Linked DNA regions of Kluyveromyces lactis. The protein of the gene in region 2 interacts with the protein of the main gene of each other region in a biochemical or structural test. Links are inferred from orthologs where the notes say so. Each region holds a gene or a part of one and is shown on either strand. Other genes may lie near its edges. The genes, in order: RAP1 and TAF4.

Region 1 (6,971 bases), on a different chromosome or scaffold from region 2:
ATATTGGTCCAACAGTGTCTCATTATAAAGTCTCTGGATAGAAATTGTTTGAAGAATCTATCCTTTTAATGAAAGAAACTTTAAGTTGTTACGTGATATAAGATCGCGGTAAAAAAATAAGATTTATAATTATTAAATCTAAAATATTCCATAACATTAAAAATGAAAGAAAACCCTAACTTCAGTGCTCACCAGTAAACTTGCTGTTGATTCGTATCAGTTCTAAGAAACTTCAAGCATCCTGCCTAATAGTTCGTTTAAGTACTCTGAATGGTACCTGTCTGTCATCAGTGTTAAACAGATAAGTAATCAAATGCATCCGTTCGATTCTCACGGAATCCTGTTAACATGTTTTCTTTATCTGTCATCACATGACCAGTCAAATTATTCTCTTACTGCAGTTTAAGATTACCCAGCCTCAGCCATGGAATCTTTTTTTTTTTTGCTCTGCGCCTGCATCTAACCAGTCGGTTTTTTCCTACGGCTCAGCTTTGTAAGCTTCCCTCCCAAGTGGGTTTTTTAAACCTAGTCCGGAGATACCTTACGAAAAGCACCCGAATGTTTTTGTAACTGCCGATGACTTTTGAAGTATATGAAAGAACAGGTGGAAGGGTGAAATAATGTTGAAATAATGCTTGTATCAAGCAAGAACGCAGGGTATGCGCTTGAGCTTGAAATTTTGCGATATAGTTTGAGCTGGGTCGGTGTTAGACGTGAAAAGAAAGAGAAATTTCATAAGTCGAGAGTGAGGTAGAGCATAAATATCGTGCTGAATACTTACTTGACCACATATTCACAGTGATAGTAAGAGATTATTACGTTTTCAATAACGATTCACAAGCATACTTTCATGAAATTGGCACAAATTCTGACAGCATCGGGAACATTTTTGTTCATGCTTTACGTTACATGGGTGTTTTTAAAGTCCGATGATTATAGAGAATTCCCAGTGATCCAAACCAAAAGACATGCCGACATCAAGCATTCGTACGAAAGACTAGTTTTTGTTGGTGATGTGCATGGGATGTATCATAAATATGAGCAGTTGATGGAAGACAAAGTGAAACCAGATTCTAATACCACTGTGGTTTTTTTGGGTGATTTTATTTCAAAGGGACCAAATTCAAACCGACTTGTGGAACAAATAATATTAAACGATGATGTAGGTTATGACGTGAAATGTGTTCTTGGCAACAACGAATTGAGAATTTTGTATGCATTGTTAAACCCTATATCATTAACTAAAAGGAAATTGATCAAAATCAAATTCTCCTCAGAAGACTTCCTGCCAGACTTACCATCCATCAACAAGAATCATCGCCGTTTAGCAAGAGAATTGGGTTGGGACAATCTTGCTCGATTGGCAGCTAAGTGTGGAGCTATGTGGGAGTTACAGGATCCACTATACGACAATTTCACTCTTGTAGCAGTTCATGCCGGTGTTCTTCCAGATCATTTAGGAAATCCTCCATTGAAAGAAATTACCGATATGAAATACGTCGACGTAAATGATCACTCTCATACTACAAGACAAAAATTCGAGAACGCTACACGATGGTATCATCTTTGGAACCCTTTAGATAAGAAGAAATATTCGATACACAATAAGATTAAAGTGATTTATGGCCATGATTCTTCTAAAGGTCTAAATATTCGTCCAAACACAAAAGGTTTGGATTCTGCTTGCTACAATGGTAACAAATTGACTGCTCTTGAATACGTTTGGAACCATAAGACGAAAGAATACAACCACATTATGCATCAAATCTCTTGTCAAGACTGAAAGTACCCACAATATCTCAGATACACGCACATTATGTGCCCATACATATATAAAGACTACATATAGAAAGAGTTTATCGATGTGTTACCCTGACTCGAACTAAATGAATGTTGCATCTTTTCCTCTGTGATGATAAAGCATCAATAATTGAATTTGAGGAAGCATTCAAAAAAAAAAAACAAAGGATGGCTGGCCAGCACCCAGAGATTACGAACAAACACGACATTTAGGAAATCCGGAATTCAGTGTAAACAAACGTAACCAAAACAAGTCTTTAACGCACACGCGAAGTAGTTAAGAGTTGCGTCAGCTACAAAAGTGAGAGACAAAGCAAGTTCACTCAGAGTAAAGATATTTACAGCACCGCGGGTCTTGTTTTGTTCATTGTGCTACCTTTCATTGTTTGCTCATTGGTTATATTTCTATCGTTTGGTTCAGTTAAAATAAGGTAACAATCAACGGGAAACTGCCGCCTGACTGTTTAGATAATATTATTCACTTGACTTGAGTCGAATGCGTTAAAGAGAGAAGCTGTCTCTACATTGGCGAATCCACGTATACCCTTTACTCATTTAGCAATACAAAACCAACGAAGGAAGATGTCACATGCAGATGATTTTGACACAGCCTTGGATTCCCCATCGGTTCAAATAAAAGAAGATGTAGGTGTTTTTGATGGAGTCTCGTTTTTCATTGACCCTTTGATCAACGACATGGAAGCTTTGGGCAATGCAGTTCGCAATAACGGTGGGGCAGTCTTAATAGAGGCTCCAGAGAAGAGTTCGAGAGAATGGGAAGCAGCATATTTTGTTTCCAAGAGGTATGATGAGGACTATAGAATATTTGTGCATCCATCTTACATTTTAGATTGTATTGATGCAGGTACACTTTTAAACGTCCATGATTACTTGGGTAAACCTGAGTCTTCCGGGTTTGTTCGGTTCGATTCTAACTCCATCTCTGATGAATATAACATTGGTAGTCAGCTATCCGATCTTCCTGGCTCTGACGTAACAAGAGCTGCAGTCAAGATAGCAACAGGGATCAACGAGTCGATTGATTCCGAGAATACTCGGGGCCAGAGAGAAATGGATTCTGATTCGTCCCCAGAAGTGAAAATGTCTTCCAAGGATGACGAAATAGCTTCTCATGACCAACAGCAACAATTGACCCACACAGATGTAGATGATGCCAATGATCTTATTTTACATGAGCAAGCAAGTTCAAGTCATAATAAATCCTCATTCACTAAAGAAGAGGATGAATTCATCCTTGATGTTGTCAGGAAGAACCCCACTAAGAGAACCACACACACATTATACGATGAAATCTCACATTATGTCCCTAATCATACTGGGAATTCTATCAGACATAGATTTAGAGTCTATTTATCGAAGAGATTAGAATTCGTTTATCAAGTCGATGAAGATGGTAAATTGGTAAGGGACCAGGATGGAAATCTAATCAAAACAGACATTCTACCGAATGGATTAAAGAGGAAATTTACAAGTGAAGAAGATTATAATTTGGCGGTTGCTGTGAAAAAACAGTTTTACAGAGATGCTTTTCAAAGAGACCCTGATACAGGAGCAAGCTTGATCGCTGAAGATGATGAACCTAACATTGTCGCGAAACGACAATTAGTTATGAATACAGAAATTGATCCATCAGAAGTACCTTCTTTCGAAAAGTATACTGTAAATGACCGCCGAGGACCATTGTCTCGTGAATTTTTCAAATTATTCGCACTTGAAGTACCAACCCATTCAGAAAATGCATGGAGGGATCGTTTCCGTAAATTTATTCTGCCTTATGGTATTGATTCATACATTTCATACTATGAGAAATGCATGGAAGAAGGTATAGAACCTGAGTCTATCAAAAATATGACCAACAGACCCAAGAGAGAAGGACCATCACCCGGAAACTATAATACGACCCTAAAAAAGAGTAAGAGATCTACCGAAGGTGGTACTCAGCAATCAACAGATACCAGTTTGAATGATTTCTTCTTAGAATCAGATGCATTCGATCTAATAGATGGTATTAGGCGTGATTTGCACGCAGCTGAAACACAACAAGAAGAGCAAGCACGTTCATTGTATGCTGATGATGTCGCGGAAAGAATTCGTCATCAAGTGGCTTTGGAACATGAAGAGTATGATAACTATGATTTTGATTCAATACCTTTCCCACCCAAGCTCGCTGATAATGATGATTTCTTTGATCATACCTTTTTCAATTTCAGATCTACCAAGGAGTTCATACAAAAGTTGGAAGAGATTATTACTAGGGAATATGATGAGTCACAAGCAGATGTCCTTGTTCATGATCTTGACGTTGAGTGCGGTATCAGAAAGAAATACGCTACATCTGTCCTAACTGCTTTAACTGGTGATATCTCATTGTTTCCAAGATACATTCTGACATCATTCAAATATGGAGTACATCTTCCGCAAAATGTCCCCGGTATATGGACGAAGGAGGATGATGTGATCTTAAGATCAAAGAATCCAGATGGAATGAAGATGCTAGAAAAGAAACATGGTATTGCTAGAATGCAAATGAGGATAAGGTTCCAAGAGAACAATCTAGTGTGAATAAACACTCTTGTTGTCTCACTTAGGTAACTAACATTTCCCTACTTTCATTATAATATACCGATTTTGGTCGCAGTTGTCAGTCTTTGACATGAAATTATCATACTTTATATGTAATGTATCGATCATATTTATGAGCAGAAACATAATGTACTATTTTATTGAGTCCTTGCTGCGGGGCCCTTCCTTTTGTATCACAAGTTCTTTTGATAATAATTCTTTCAAATTTTCACTTATAAGCGATGGATGATGTAACGGGGGATCTTCCGCTTCGCTCGTGAGCGGTATTTCATGTCCATTATACCCTGTACTTGTAGTCCTCTTGCTTATTAGTTCTTCCTCTCTTTCGAGAACTTCAATCATTTTCTGAAACTTTATAAAAAGAAGTTCGCTTCTTATCATGATATCAGACCAATCCATGCTGTTTCTCAAATCATTGAAATATTTTAACACGTCGTCAAACTCTGTTAATTGAGAAACGACGACATCGCTGTGTTTTTGTAATATTGCCAACATGAAGAAAAGTTGGAACTGTGAACTGTAATAATCAGTCCAAAATATTTCCCATATTTTACAAACATCACTAAACTCAAACTCTCTTTTGAACCATACGAGTAACATTCTGAAACAGAAAAATAGATCAGCTGATTCGCACTTTTTCAAATGTTCCGCAAACTTTGGTAACATAAACTGACAAAGGTCAACAAGAGTTAGCATTTGATCTCTGATACCAGATTGATCTCTCAAAAAATTTCTTTCCATCCTATTCATGAAATTGACAAAACACCAGAAGGAAAGTGCCTCATCTTGAAGTACAAAGTATATCAGAGAGAGTAAATCGGTCATTCCCTGAACATATCCAAGATTTGGATTGTAGATATTGTAGCTAATGAGAATATTTTTCAAGGCTTGGAGATGAGGGTTTTTGATTTCCCACTCTTCTTCCTGGTCTCCTTTATTTGGTGCTTCTTCATTTTTAGCACCATCTTCCTTTCCATCTTTAGTATTGTGCCTATATAGAGGAATATCACGATCATTTCTAAGCACATCTTTCGAAATTCGGAATACTTGGTCTTTCCAATATTCTTCTTCTTCTGAATCATCAAGCACATCTCTGTAAATCCATTTCGACTTGTAATTTGCATTGTAATCCTCCTCCATGGCCTGCTTTAGCTCTTTACGCTCTTGTAAAGAAGAGTCCCAAGGATAAACTCCCAAAAGAAATAGCCACACTTCGCTTCTCAATGCGTCATTTTCGACCCCGCCATGGAAGATAAAATCTTTGACCTCATGCACAGTTATAGAAAGCCTACCTTGCGAGTCAAACAAAGAGTCCCATTTCTGCTTCGTTAAGGGAAATGACCTCTGTACAGCTATATTCAATTCCTCGGGTGATATTTCCACATCGTTTGAAATTCCTAATTCATTTCTCAAAATTCTCTTATACGTGTCATCCAAATAGTGTTCCTTTTGATAACGCTCAGCCTCTTGTTTCACACCCATTGCCCATTTTGCTAGATATATTTTGGCACTATCAAATTCATCTTGGACTTCTACGACCCTTGGATTTTTCATCAATTGTTTAACGTACACATTGTCACTGTGCTTGTCAATCATTTGAACTATTGGATGTTTCTTTACTAGTTTTCCGAATAGATTAGATGCCGTCGTTGTTGCGTCCGCAAATTTGGACATAATTGACCATCTCGTTGCTTCAAGGCTGTCCCATATATTACCATCATCTTTGGAAGATGAACCGGATTGAGGTCTTTGGAAATTGTTCAACGAAAAATTGCGCAAATCGTCTAGAGATGCATTGACGAGATATATGCATTGTGATGAATCTACTTTTTGTAAATCAACCAAAGATTGTAAGCAAGTTCTCAAATCATCACCGCCCCAATAAATGTCCCCTTCATTGGAAAATGGATCGAATTCTTTACTCATTTTCTTTCTTTTCGCGATTGTTGATGTACATATGTCGTCATGGAAGAATAAGACAGGGATATCTTCATTCATACCATTCTTACAATTAATGATGCAGGATCCAAACCAATACCCATTTGGATGTGGTGGTTTGAACTGTATTGAGTATATCGCAGAAATACTGATAGTGAAAGACCACGATGAATATATTGAATCAACAGTAAAATCATGAGGCGATCTAACCGAGTGAGCAGTTAATAGTTTCGATTCCACATTCAACAATGTTTTCACAAAGCTGGATTCCAAATCATTCTCTGGTATCCATGAGAGTTTTGCATCCTGCGTTTGAGTATGTTGACTTTCTTTTATTACCAACAAAAACCCCGGTAATTGGTCGCTTCTATTAGAGGTGGGGTGAATAAAGACCTTACTCTTGCAGAACAGGATCTGCGACATTGCTAATACGATTTTAACCTTCTACTGTGCTTCTGTATGAAAATAGCGCTAATTGTAATACTGAAAATAGCTCCGTAGAACTATGCAAATTTATTATTTGCTGGTTGTCTATGAATACGTTGACTAGACAGCCATGTTTTGTGATGGAACTCTTTAGTGTATGGGTTGGAACAGCCTTTTTTTTAAGCCCATCCCTTCTTTTTTTT
Region 2 (6,333 bases):
TTTCCAGTATTTCTCGTTGGGATGACATCTCAGACGCAGTGGAAGAGAAAAAAAAAGCCGGCTTCAACACATCTATAACTGATGTATGGGGCCGCGCCCTATCTTACAATTTCTTCCCATCATTGGACGAAGGTGGTGTGGGTTATACGTGGAATACCTTGAGAGATGTTGATGTTTTTAAAAATGGTGAAATGCCTTTCCCTATTTCAGTAGCTGTTGGTAGATATCCCGGTACTCAGGTTGTCAATTTGAATGCAACTGTCTTTGAATTTAATCCATTTGAAATGGGCTCCTGGGATTACACCTTACATACTTTCACCGATGTTAGATATGCTGGTACCAATGTTACTAATGGTACTCCAAACGTAACAGGAAAATGTGTTGCAGGCTTCGATAATACAGGTTTTGTTATGGGTACGTCCTCCTCCTTGTTTAACCAATTTTTATTACAACTTAACACTACTGATTTGCCATCTTTCTTGTACAACTTACTTCACGGATTCTTGACTGATGCTTCTGATGATTACGATGACATCTCGATTTGGGCACCAAACCCGTTCTACGAAATCACGAACATACCTTCTAATTATTCCCAATCCATCAGTGAAGATGATACATTGTATTTAGTGGATGGTGGTGAAGATGGGCAAAATATCCCATTGACACCATTGCTGCAAACTGAGCGGGAAATCGATGTTATCTTTGCTTTGGATAACAGTGCAGACACGGATCAATCTTGGCCTGACGGATTTTCATTGACTCAGACTTACGCTCGTCAATTTGGTCTGCAAGGGAAAGGCATTGCCTTCCCTTATGTTCCAGATGTGAACACTTTCACCAATCTTGGATTAAATACAAGACCTACCTTCTTTGGGTGCGATGCAAGAAATTTGACTGATCTAGAATCAATTCCACCTTTAGTAGTTTATATGCCAAACACAAGGGAGTCCTTCAACAGTAACACATCTACGTTTAAAATGTCGTACTCCACTTCCGAAAGGTTTAAGATGATCCAAAACGGTTTCGAAGCTGTCACCATGAAAAATCTCACTAAAGATGAGAACTTTATGGGGTGTATCTCATGCGCCATATTGAGACGGAAACAAGAATCACTAAATTATACACTTCCATCTGAATGTGATGCTTGTTTCGAAAAATACTGCTGGAATGGAACTGTCGATGCCACCACCCCTATCTCAAGCACTACATCCTCCTCTGCAAGTTCCACCTCAACATCTGATTCCGGCAATAAAGAAAATAGTGCCAGAATTTTGGCCCCAAGAAGTACGCTATCTTTGTTGATTGGAGGTTTAGCTAGTGTCTTCATCTCTTTCTAGTTTACCCATGAGTATCAAACTAAAACCAAAAAAATATATATGCATTGAGTTTTCAGATGTTCATGCAGATTCGTTCTTATGAATTCGTCATTGTACCTCCTTCGTTTCCAATTTCTCTAGATGATCTCCTTTGACCAATGACCAAATCATTGACAAGACTGGAGTATATAAAAGTATCTTGATATGATTCGTTAAAAAGTAATATAATAGATACAAACGATAAATGGTACCGAATTGCGTCGATCATTAGTGTACTTATTAAAGCGTCGTGTGAAGTAATGGTTTAATAAACTCTATTTTTTTTAAACTTTATTTGTCTCTGACGTGATTTTGAGTATTTAGATACTAAAAAATGAAAACTATCTTTAAATATTAAATATGCGACATGTCAGGTAGAAAAGGAAAAGTAATCTCGCATGCAAGTATGAGTCTCTATGTTATTTATCGAAAGGTTTATATTATATAAGTATGCATACTACAGAACATCTCGGAAACTCATATTATTCCTCAAAGTAACTGGAAATGCTAGTCTCTGATTCTAGCATATCCTTTAGTGATAACATTATTAACTCCTACTCGCCTATTTTCTAAAGCTAAAAGAAGGTCCCTCATAACGATGCCAGGTTCTTCTCTTGCTTCTCTATATTTGATACCCATTTCACCCCTTGCTGCAACAGCAGATGAAACATTTCCCTGATTTTTTAGGTCTGTCGAGCTGGACTTGGATCCAGCGGTCAACCAACTATATTTTTTTTTGTTACCCCCTGCAATCATCAAATTGGCAGTTGCATTTGATGCACGATATTGAGTCTCTTCAGTATCTAACCTAGCATCCGTTGTTTGTTTTTCTAAACCGAGTGCTATTCTTCTCTGTACTCTTCTTTCTTCTTGAGTCTTTTGTCTTAATGCTAAATCCCTCAAAGAACGACTCACTTCACTCCTCCTTCCCGTGTTTAGTTTAACACCTTTCCGTCTATGTATGGATAGGATTAAAGAGTTCGTTATCACGTCCCTCATGTAAAGTTCACATGCAGTAGACATTAATCCGAGTATATCAGTGTTTTTATTGAAATCTTGATGAAAGTTTTGTTCTGATGCAATTCTTTTCATGAAATCTGAAATGTTCTTAGGATGTAGGAATGGAGGATGAGATGGGACCTGGTTATTTGCTGAAATACCGGTTGCTTTTGTTCTAGCAACTGTGCTACTTAGCAATGCCTCTTCCTCTCTTATATCAACACCGGCCGATAACAAAGCATCACTAAGCTTGTCTGGATCACTTTGCTGTGGTTTTGTAGTTGAGGCAGTCGTACTACCTGTTGAACCCCCGGCATTCTTCTTCTGTTCTGCTTTCTGTGATTGTTTGCTTGTCGTACTCGTCGTCTTCAAATTTGGCGTACTTGAGTTTCGCGGAGATGCTAGGTTTGTAGTTGGAGATGATGCTTTAGGTAGAGCTAATGGCTGTTCTGTAACCATAGTATCGAATGGCGTAGGCAGATCACTGCCAAAATCTGAGCCACTGGGTTCCAGCCCGTTCTCTACTTTGCCAAATTCGAATGATTTGGAACGTTTATTTGAAGATAAATCTTCCGGTTCAGAATTCTTTCTCTTGGGCGATTTTGCCATCGTATTTTATACTAATTAGACCAATAGTGATAGTTTTCTCTGGTGAAACACGGGGGTAAAAAGAATCGTATTGGATACTTGAGGACACCTATTGCACTTGTCCCAAAAATGCAGGCAAATAAACTATGAAAAGAATAAGTCAATCTTTAAAAACAGGTCCAAATGCGGCCTATCAATTAAAATCCAGTTTCAGCGAAAAACGTACAACCTTAATGATTTCAACAAAGATAAAAAAACGTGCGAGTATTAAACATTATGCTAAAAAGTTCTATCTAGTTCCTACCTCTTTCTTCATTTAGATGCTATTGTTTGCTGGCTTTGATTTTTTCAAGATTGAAAGATCACATAATCCGGGTAACGAAGCTCATTTCTTTTCCTTGCAAAAAATTTGTCAAAAGCGTATCTCATCTCATCTCATCGCCTAACTGAACATACAACACAAAACCAATATCGAAAGGTTTCAGTTAACTTCCATCAACCATTCCATTAGCGTCCGATAGAAGGTCACTTTCTGTATTAAAAACTCTAAAGAGATTTATCAGGAAATTTATTCCTCACGAAGTAGGACAGACAAACAGACAAATTGGACATGTCATCCTCTTCCAGATACGTAACCTTTGAAGGTTCACGGAACTTTCGTTTACGAGTAGTAATGGCTACATTGTCAGGAAAAGCTATAAAGATAGAAAAGATACGTTCTGATGACCTAAATCCGGGTTTAAAAGATTACGAAGTCTCTTTTCTAAGATTGATGGAAGCGGTAACGAATGGTAGTTCAATAGAAATTTCATACACTGGTACCACCGTCATCTTCAGACCAGGAATAATTACTGGTGGTTCATACACACATCAATGTCCGAACAGTAAACCTGTGGGCTATTTTGCCGAGCCAATGTTGTATTTAGCCCCCTTCTCAAAGAAGAAATTCTCAATCCTATTCCGTGGTATAACATCTTCACATAATGATGCTGGAATAGATGCGATAAAATGGGGGTTGATGCCGATTATGGAAAAATTTGGCGTCAGGGAATGTGCATTACATACTTTGAAGAGAGGTTCACCTCCTTTAGGTGGTGGTGAAGTACACCTTGTTGTGGATTCATTGATTGCACAACCGATTACAATGCACGCCTTGGATAAAACAATGATTTCAAGTATAAGAGGTGTTTCATACTCCACAAGAGTCAGTCCCTCCCTTGTAAATAGAATGATTGATGGTGCGAAAAAAGTTCTTAAATCTGCTAGTTGTGAAGTAAATATAACTGCAGATGTATGGAGAGGTGAAAACTCAGGTAAAAGTCCAGGTTGGGGTCTAACGCTCGTAGCAGAGAACAAACAAGGATGGAGAATCTTTTCTGAAGCTATCGGTGACGCTGGGGATGTTCCAGAAGATATTGGTGCATCCGTAGCCTATCATCTACTTGAAGAAATAAGCAAAAGTGGAGTTGTTGGAAGAAACCAGTTGCCACTTACAATTTTATACATGATCATCGGTAAAGAAGATATCGGAAGACTCAGAATCACTAAGGATCAAATAGATGAAAGATTTGTATGGCTCTTACGGGATATCAAGAAAGTTTTCGGTACAGAAATACTCTTGAAGCCAGTGGATGATAACACTACGGATCTAATCGCAACAATCAAGGGTATTGGATTCACAAACACCAATAAGAAAATCGCATAATTGACATTACATATCATTTTATCTGACAAAATGACTCCCATAAGTATTCATATATAAAATTTATATGCATATGTGTCAACACAAATTCCTTCGCGTAGCACTTATTATTATCGTATCAAACAATTCCATAAAGCTTGGAACATTCAAGATAAATATTGTAGGATAGTTTTAGTGTCTTTGCAGGGGCATATCGCGGAGCTTTTTGCAAATTTTTTCCCAATTGTCAACATTGTTATTAGTGTATCTCAAATTTATTTCAATCCACCTCTGGAAGCAATCTGTAATCAAGAATTGAGTTTCATGGAATATTGTGAATTCCTCCAATATACACTCCCTGATCAACCAGCTTCGGTTCATTTGATCGAGTATGCTTCTTTTATCTCTGGAGATGCTCTGTTTTACACGATCATATTCTGCTCCTTTCACATCAGGGTTGCTTTCCAAAGTGTTCAATCTTTCTTGATTTATTTCTACCCTTCTTTGTAACTGAGGAATATTGTTACCTGCCATCATCTTATATCTCTCAAACAATCCTTTCAACGCTATAATAACGTCAATGAAAGCCTTGAATCTAACCGAGAGGCCACTGTCGACTTCCTCGTTTTCTCTTTCTATGACATCTGCACATGAATTCAAATGCTCTACTATCAAACCAACACCTTCGTTTATTTGAGAAACTGTTGCAGTGGATTGTGGATACAATGCTTCCGTTGTGTCTGGAATAGCATTAAGGATTTGTCCTAATAATTTTCTTTCATGGGCAACTTGTTTCATCCTTTTCTCGTATCTTTCTATTAAAACAGTAACTTTAACCCATGTATCCAATGCAATATCAATTCTTTCGTCTGCTTTATTCCATTGTTCGGAAAATTCCTTCCTCCATAAATTCATGAATGAAGAAGATATATGCTTATCAGTAAATTCATCTGTTGTATCGTAATGCGCTTGTTTTCTCCAGCCCGAAAGATCTGTTGGAACGGTCAAAAATGTGAGAACCAAGTCATCACTTCTCAAGACAGGATGTTTCATAACCAAATTGATGAAACGGCTCAAGCCTTTCCTTCTTTTCGCCAAAAATAAAGGGTCTGCGTTCTGAGAGCCGATCTTTTTTGGAGGTAGTTCTGGGACCATTCTAAATGGGTATTTTCTTAGTAATACATCTTGTAGCCAATCAAAATCAGAATACCTTCTCACCACTGTTCTATCATCCGAGGGATCCGTGTTTGGCAAAGGTGTGAGATGCTTGACCAAATAATTAGTGTGCTTGAACACTAGCCCTTCCCTTTCAGGAATTTCTTCTACACTAACGATATCTTCTGCTAGTGGGAAATATGTCTTTCTTACGGACTCAACCCAGTTCTTATACTCGTCGTTTGCAGCATACTGCGGTGTGTCGGTAGCCTGAAAACGATTCACGCCTCGAATATCTGTCTCTTGTGTAGTACTTCCAATGTTTGGACGGTCCCATAAAACATCATTTTGATATACGTTGGAAGCGGTACCCCTAACAATGTTATCACCATTACTGAATATGTTCACTCCAAGATAATCGTCATTCACACGTTTGTTTGCTTCTTGCTGTAGTGAATCAGCTGAGTATGATTTTAAAGCATTAACAGATGAATTATCAGGTTCCCACACAGATCCACTGATATTGTTGCCGTTTTCTTCAGAATTTACTCTCCA

Evidence for each region.
Region 1: the proteins of TAF4 (region 2) and RAP1 form a complex in vitro, tested with the Saccharomyces cerevisiae proteins (2 studies listed by BioGRID, with this or other methods). The link is inferred for Kluyveromyces lactis from reciprocal best matches to the Saccharomyces cerevisiae genes TAF4 and RAP1.

The regions. Positions count from the first base shown.
Region 1 is NC_006040.1:1,618,788-1,625,758, reverse strand, and holds RAP1 (DNA-binding transcription factor RAP1), read left to right. Parts: upstream 1-2,382; coding exon 2,383-4,383; downstream 4,384-6,971. Other genes in the region: PPN2 (putative serine/threonine-protein phosphatase), read left to right, coding at 851-1,783; GTPase-activating protein GYP7, read right to left, coding at 4,537-6,765. UniProt on the Saccharomyces cerevisiae protein: Essential regulatory protein in yeast whose DNA-binding sites are found at three types of chromosomal elements: promoters, silencers, and telomeres.
Region 2 is NC_006039.1:525,354-531,686, forward strand, and holds TAF4 (Taf4p), read right to left. Parts: upstream 2,964-6,333; coding exon 1,863-2,963; downstream 1-1,862. Other genes in the region: PLB3 (lysophospholipase), read left to right, coding at 1-1,337; RCL1 (rRNA-processing endoribonuclease), read left to right, coding at 3,553-4,647; MVP1 (Mvp1p), read right to left, coding at 4,816-6,333. UniProt on the Saccharomyces cerevisiae protein: Functions as a component of the DNA-binding general transcription factor complex TFIID. Binding of TFIID to a promoter (with or without TATA element) is the initial step in pre-initiation complex (PIC) formation.